Linked DNA regions of Oryza sativa Japonica Group. Each later gene encodes a partner of the first gene's protein in a complex. Links are inferred from orthologs where the notes say so. Each region holds a gene or a part of one and is shown on either strand. Other genes may lie near its edges. The genes, in order: protein TIC 22, chloroplastic; protein TIC 20-v, chloroplastic.

Region 1 (4,260 bases):
TTTGTAAGTTCTCTTTCTATGTCCTCCTGAGCTAAGAAGGCGAAAATGGTGAAGACCTAAATCAGACCGGGTAAACTACATGAAAGAAATTGAAGCCTGGCAAACCTTTTGAAAATATATCGGACAGTAACGCTTCTTCTGTTTCTTAACAACCAATAGGTCTGACTGCACATTCAAATGGGACATTATTGCTATTGGAAAGAATAAATCACCAAATGCTGAATATATCACTTAATGTCTTAAATAGTCTGTACTTAGGATAGAACGCTATGATAATCAAAAACAGCTATCAGCCTGTCAAATTCACAAGTCCAGTGCTGCAAACAACTGAATAATTGGAAAATCATACATATAATGGCACAATATCTTGAAACAAAGTGTTCAAGCATCTCCGGAAGAAAGTTAAGCATTCTCTCCTGCCATGATGCTTTTATTCCACGTGATTTTTCATGTCATACTGCAATAAACATGTAACCAACTGCGTTGATGGACCTAAAGCTGTGTACTTCAGTTTTTTCCTTGATAAGAAAATCAGGGCTTCCCTTGTTCTATGACAATCGAAACATCAGAAGATCTGATATTCCATGAAAAGGTTTAGACTACTGCACGCCTAAACTTTCAATTGAAAATTTTTGACTATCCGTTTATCTTCTAGTCCTATTTTAGTACAACAAGTCGTGCCAATAAGATAAGGCTAAAGCTTCACAAAATGATGCACACATGTGACAAATAACGAGAAATTATGACAGGACAGTTCATGCATTTACATTTAATAAATAGGCATGGGCTAATAACTAACAGGAACAAGCAGATAGCTTCAGAACCTACCTATTAGTCCATGCACTTTGGTAATATTAAGTTCACGAGTAATTTATACTGAGTCAAGATATTAATCAGCAAATCAACTTTAATACATTTATTGTTAATATTCTAAAATACATTTAATAATCGCAAAGGGTATGTCTCAATGCTTTCCATAAAAGTATATTTTTCAGTAAATAATACAGACATGAGTATTACCTGGAAAACAGGAACACCATCAAAAGCAGTTAAGCCAGATTTTAACTGAAAAAACGAAGGATAATCGTCACTGGGCTGAAGTAAGTTTGTTAGCATTCTTACATTAGTGAAACAATGCATAAGATAGCAATAATCTACATACTATACACTGTTAAGACGTCAGCTCTGATATACTCATGATTCATGAGTGAAAAGGCATGAGTTGTACATTCCATGATATACTCTGAAGTCTAACCACTGAATGTGGACAGTCCACACCAAGAAACAGGAAAAACAATACAGATTATCTATATTTTAAAATGCCACCTTCCCATATGTTTTTTTTTCTTTTGCAAGGAAGGGACTTTCTCCTTATGAAATAGGCTGACATGTGACAGCACTCCATGTGTTCTGCGTGCATCTGTCTAGTGTATGCATATCATTTGTGCATTCTGGTGAAGGCAATGATTAGTGACAGTACAACTTCTCTACCAATAATATATACAAGGAACCAAGTCCATGTGTAAAGTCTTGAGTGGTGATACAGAAAATAGGTACACACATACCCAAACTGCAAAGATCTCGGACTGTTGGTAAATAGTTAAAAACATTAAATGGGAGTAAAATTGGTATATAAGGAGTCCATTGGAATTTTGGAAGATGCAATGGCTGCATTGATGCTTTTAAGGAGTAATGCTGTCAACCTGAGGAACTGAATTCCACTTTTCTAGTGAGATAGAATGATGGCCAGATGGGCGTACTAAACATATCCACTTATAGATAAGATGGAGCAAAGAGCCACAAATCCAGAGAAGAACTAACCTCCAACGCATTCTTAATTTGAAGAGGGTCAGGTAAGAACCGAAATGCAATACCTTCAGCCTTCAACATGTAAACCTGCATTTAGAAGGACGGCTTAAGGTATATTTACATTGTAAAACATAAAAAATAATCAGCATAGTTAAATGTAAGCAATATACTAGTTGTATTGAATGAAGTAGAAACGAGTGAAGTTGCAACGAGGCTAGCCTAAGCCCAAGAACCCTCAAGCATGAATATGCAAGAAAAGCATGGGTGTTGTAAGAAAAGATAGACTAAGCTAGGTAAAAGGGGCAGCACATAAGAAACGGCAGCTTTCCTTGATTTGCTCTTGGAAGAAATCCAGGTCCCACTTTGCTACTCGTTAATATGTCATTCAGTTACTAAATTATCATACAACTGTATGTCCCTATTTAACTCTTGCATAAACCCAAATGCTCCATAACTCTTCCTATGCAGAGTTGGTCCTAGAAGAGTGATGACAAAATTGATCACAAAATATCGATTTAATCCCACCTGATCAAGCGTAATCGGCACCACTTTTGCCCCTCTCCCTACCACCGGCTGCCGCATCCTCACCTAAACCACACAAACTCCCAAACCATTAGGGCGAAAAGAACAAATCAAACAGCAAAAGGCATAACAGATGGGAAGATGAGGATACGTGGGTGAGGAGAGCGTCGGCGTCCTCGGAGCGGAAGCAGAGGAGGCCGAGGGAGCGGAGGCCGGTGGCGGGGTCGGAGACGAGCACGAACTCGTTGCTGGAGTTGCAGACGGTGAAGACGGGGGTGCCGGTGAGCGCGCGCGCGACCTCGTCGGGCGCGAGCGCGAGGGAGAGGGAGGCGGAGGCGCCCTGCGGCCCCGGGGGCGCCGCCGACGCCGTCACAGCAGCGAGGGCTGGGCGCGGCGGCGCGGCGAAGCGGGACGCGAGGCGGGAGAGGTGGTGGTGGAGGAAGGAGGAGGCCGCGGCGAGGGGGTTGGGGGGCAGCGACGAGGAGGAGGAGGAGGAGGAGGGGGCCGACGGGTTGGACATCGGGGCGGCGGCGAGCGGGAGGGAGGAGGAGGAGGAGGAGGAGGAGGAGGAGTTCGGCGGCGGCGGCGGCATCGTGGTTGGCTGGTTGCTGCTGGGTTTTCGGCACGCGACGCGACGGACGACTTGGATGGCGGCGCGCGGAGGTGTCGTGTTGCTCGGCGTCGCCGAGGAGCGGGCCGCGGGCGGCGTGCGGATTCGGTCGAGCCGCACCGTCTGGCCTCGTGGAGTCGTGCTGCACTGCAACTGGTGTGGCCTTGGTTGGGTTTGGTCGGGGGGTTTTGCTTCGGCCAATCCATTATCATTTTTTTTTTCAGTGAAAATATGTTAAGCTCAATTATCAATTTTTTTCAGTGAAAATATGTTTAGTTACAACTTACAATATGGAGGATGAAATTAGCTTCTAAGAGCATCACCAATAGAATTGGAATTATTCGCCCCTAAATTTTTCAACTCCGCGCACGCTGTCTGGGGAAGAACAGAGATCCAAGGGTGAGTGGGTGACTACCGTCTCTGTACCTCTACGTATCATGTGCTGGCCAGCGCGGCTTGCCTTGCTTAGGTGGAGGTCCAATTGCTTGCCGCATTGGCACCTCATCGTCGTGGAGGCACAGGCGGCACGGGGAGGGAGCACAAAGGAAGAGGAGGGGACGTGGATCGGATCGAGCTACGACGTAACGTCAGGTGCGTGCACTGTCCATCTATCATCCAATGGCTGTTGTTTCTCTTGCCTTCAGTCCAAACAAATTAATCAGTCTCCTTCTTAAAAAGCCCAAATTAATCAGTCTACTTCTTGAAAAGCCCTCAGAAAAACAGAGATCTAAGGGTAAGTGGGTGACTACCGTCTCTCTACCTCTACACATCATGTGCTGGCCAGCGTGCAAAGGAAGAGGACGGGACGTGGATCGGATCGAGCTACAACGTAACATCATGTGCGTGCACTGTCCATCTACCATCCAACGGTTGTTGTTTTTCAGTCCAAACAAATTAATCAGTCTCCTTGAAAGCCCTCAGATCCAGCAAGTAGCTTTACAGATGAGGCAAATATGAGGACTGTTCAAATGAGTATGAACGCACGCACGCAAACCTTACCCCTATGAGCATCTTCGAAGACTGGGCCGGCAAATGCATCCTGGAGATTGACGAAATCACCACGGGCGCCTCGTTGTCGACGGGTACGTCGCCTACCACTGAAAGCACAAAGCCGTTAAATGCTGAAAAGTTTGCTTCCATGGGGAGTCAAACCCAGGACCTAAGGTGCTACTGAGACTCTTGTAACAACTATGCTACATGCGCTTTCGCAAACATACTTAGCCATTATTATCATTGACTCATTATGATATTATATAGCATCCTTATAAATACCAATACAATTAAAGTACTGCGGACTAATAAAGTGCCAAATCATTAAA
Region 2 (3,340 bases), on another chromosome or scaffold:
GTCAGAATTCTTGTAATTAAGAACTAGATCCACTAACTTTAATGTCTTTTAAACGCAGAGAACAGCACACCCAGCAATCAGCCACCATGGCTGAGCATGTCAACAATGCGCCAAGAGTCTGAACCAGGCAACAAAATGCCGAACAAGCATGAGAAACAGACCCTTCACGATGAAAACCATAGTATTTCTAGCGCTTACTCTCAAGGGTCTGTTCCTTAACCATTTGTTACTTCAAGACTAAAGTTAGCACAATATGTAACTAACAGGATACTACTTCAATTTGCAACAGATTATTCAACAGATTGACAGAAGCTCTTAAAAAGTCAGGACTAGATCCATCTCAAGCTAATATAGCTGTAGAGATCAACCTGGCCAAACGAGCAAGAGATAATACTAGTGACAACTCAAAGGTATAGAGCTTTACAAAGTTGATTTATTCATGATGTTTGAACATATAGATCGTCTGCTTAATAATTATTTTGTACCTTTGTCCTGACTTCACATCACAGATCAATGAAGATGAAGAGCCCATCCAAATAACCAAGAGGCGGTGCAATAAAAGCTAGAACTTTTTCTCCAAACTAGAAAATTCAGACATCATCAAGTTCAGACAATAACTTGGTAGCAGCAACCACAATCCCCAATTGATGCAATTATTTTATTTATATTGCAACAACAATTAACTAACCTAAGCATCCATTCATATACCATTGAAGCTCCTTCAGGGGAGGTCTTGAGGACACTCCCCAATTTCTCATTCATCATCTGTAAATGTAGTCCAGAATTCCATATTCTATAGCGAGTATATGTATTGCTATCTCTAAAAATTCCCAATTCAACTCATTCGTTCATACACTTGATTGTAAATTTTGTAATGCCATTGTACCAACCTTCCGTAACTCCATTCATTAAATTGGTTACTACAGCTGTAAATAATCACTGTACTAAACTGAACTTGTGAATTTGCGATCTACTAACATCAATGAGGCATCGAGATGGATGTGTATATCATTTTCCTTTGTTCCTTTTCACCAGCAAGATTTGACAAAAGCTCATCACATCACCTGGCGCTCGGCTGCATCTGCGACGATTGGCAGCCGCGGCGTCTTCCCTAGCAGGCACGCGCCCCCGCCGTAGACTAGGCAGACGAGCAGGAAGAGGAACACGGTGCTCTCCATACTCTGGAAGAGCTCGAAGCCGATCCCGCCACCGGTGGAGGGCGCGAAGGACTGCACGAGGAGGTCGGGGAAGATGAGCAGCACGTCGAGCGCGACGGCCTGCATGGCGTTGAAGCGGACGAAGCGGGAGAAGGCCTGCTGGTTGCGCACGACGGCGAAGTAGAGGGTGAGGAAGAGGAGGAAGGGCGTGAGCGGGGAGGAGCGGAAGAGGCGCGCGGCCGGCGCGAGCGGGCTGAGCAGGGTGCTGAAGAGCGGGAACTGCGCGAGGAGGAAGCGGCCGTGGTGCACGCCGTCGAGGAACGGGTAGAGGTAGGCGACGGCGGCCACCAGGCGGTCGGGCGCCTCCACGGCGCCGCTGTTGTCGTTGTCGTTGTTCGGGTTGGAGGCGCGCGGCGGCGGCGCGGGCAGGCGGGCGCGCGTGGCCCATACCCCGAGCGCGGTCTCGCCCGCGTGGCCGAGGAGCAAGGGGTGGCGCGCCTGGGAGCGTAGCGCTGGCACCGGCGCCGCGCGGCGGAGCGGGCGCGGGGACGAGAGGAGGAGGAGCGAAACGGCGGATGCCATGGAGAAGGGATTTGGTTGGGGGAGCAGCGCGGCGCGGCGCGGCGCGGCGGGTGGGAGCTGAGATTTTTGCGGGTGCAGTGCCGTGAGGTGGGGGAGTTTGGCTGGTTGGGGGGCAGTGGCGCCGCGCGGCTGCGGCCACCGGGGCGAAGGCGAAGCGGGGTTGGGAGCGTGGAGATTTTTCCAGATTTCGGTGGGATGTGGGGCATGTGGCCGAGTGGGAGACGAGGAGATTGGTTGGTGGTGCCTGGTGCGGGAGGGCAACGGCGAGGGCGCCGCGGCAGGCAGGAAGAGCATTAGATGGGCCAAAGCTTGCGGCGCCGTGCTGTTCACTGGGCCGAAAGGATCAGGCGTACTGTTTGGGCCTCGTCTGAGACGCGTTTTGCCGGTTTTCCTGCGTGGGCTACCAGGCTTTCGTCGTACCATATGCATCGCGATTTCGTAATGGGCTAAGGCGTTGTACGCCTCTCAAGCTGAACTCCGCGCGCGCGGCCCGTAATGCCCGTAGTGTGTCGTTCAGCCGTTGGCACTTGACAATTGGCTGGCAGCGATCTGACACACACAAGGAAATGGAGTGATTTTCGTTGTACGAACTGTAATAATGTGTGATTTTCGTTTAATGGATTTGGATGGTCCTGTAAAAGAAAGGGGAGAACAGCTGCAGCCTGCAGCAGCGTGGCACGTTAATCTTCCCTCCGTTCCACACCCGAGAGTTACCTGACTGACTGCTTCACTAGCACAAAAGCAGACTACAAATCTACCAGCATGGTTTACTAATTACACGAGCTATGCAGCTTGCGGATCTACCATTGCCTCATACTGCCATATGAAAATTCATCAATCTCATCCCCATTGCCTCCTACTGGCACGTTTCCCGTCGAATGGAGCACTAGTAAAATTAAATTAAACTCGATCCCAAGATGGCTCTTGCGTCAACGTTAATCCTCCAATCCATCGCACAAAACCAGGCGCATATGCACGAGCTCGAACGTAGCAGTCTAGCAGAGCGATCGCCTAGGGATCGGTTGCACGTCGAGTCCCTCGCGCGCGTTGACGAGTAGAGATCGGCAACGAAGTGGAGACGACGAGGCACTCAACCCCGTGCACTGTGGGATGGGCTCGGCTCGGCTCGGCCGCGCGCTCCGTGCCAGATTCGCGCGCATCTCTAGCGGCTATTCTCGCGGTGGTTCACTGCATTTCGAGCTGAGTGCTCCAACGATCGATGAGACGATAACGAGTAGGACAAGACCACTTAACTGCTGGGTCGCTCTTGGATCAGTGCTAATCCTATCTTAATCGCCACTGAAAACAAGATGCACTGACTCGCACGTTAACAAGTAGAGGCATGTATTACTTCGATACACCACCACAGCACAGCCGTGGTAAAAAAAATGATACATCACCGTGCATTCTGGTGTTCTATAATACACAATCAGAGCATATATACACCCAACAACCAGCAGCATCTGTTCAGACTGCTGAAACAGTTGGTAGTACTACATGGTAAAACTTCAGGAGACGGAGAGAAATTCAAGATGCAAGAGCAGTAATGTCTGCACAAAGTATGAAAAACCTGATATATAACAATTTCCTTCATGAACCAT

Evidence for each region.
Region 2: protein TIC 22, chloroplastic (region 1) and protein TIC 20-v, chloroplastic share a complex: the UniProt entries of both Arabidopsis thaliana proteins name them as parts of the tic complex. The link is inferred for Oryza sativa Japonica Group from reciprocal best matches to the Arabidopsis thaliana genes Tic22-IV and Tic20-V.

The regions. Positions count from the first base shown.
Region 1 is NC_089040.1:5,941,151-5,945,410, forward strand, and holds the start of protein TIC 22, chloroplastic, read right to left. Parts: upstream 3,102-4,260; 5' UTR 2,924-3,101; coding exon 2,483-2,923; intron 2,398-2,482; coding exon 2,335-2,397; intron 1,897-2,334; coding exon 1,822-1,896; intron 1,066-1,821; coding exon 1,021-1,065; intron 166-1,020; coding exon 106-165; intron 57-105; coding exon of another isoform or gene 27-56; coding exon 1-26. UniProt on the Arabidopsis thaliana protein: Involved in protein precursor import into chloroplasts. Imported into the intermembrane space via the Toc translocon. May be involved in the import pathway used by proteins without a cleavable N-terminal pre-sequence.
Region 2 is NC_089036.1:30,722,167-30,725,506, reverse strand, and holds protein TIC 20-v, chloroplastic, read right to left. Parts: upstream 1,963-3,340; 5' UTR 1,740-1,962; coding exon 1,056-1,739; 3' UTR 645-1,055; downstream 1-644. Other genes in the region: transcription factor BIM2, read left to right, coding at 59-206, 290-410, 510-566. UniProt on the Arabidopsis thaliana protein: May be involved in protein precursor import into chloroplasts. Not redundant with TIC20-I, TIC20-II or TIC20-IV.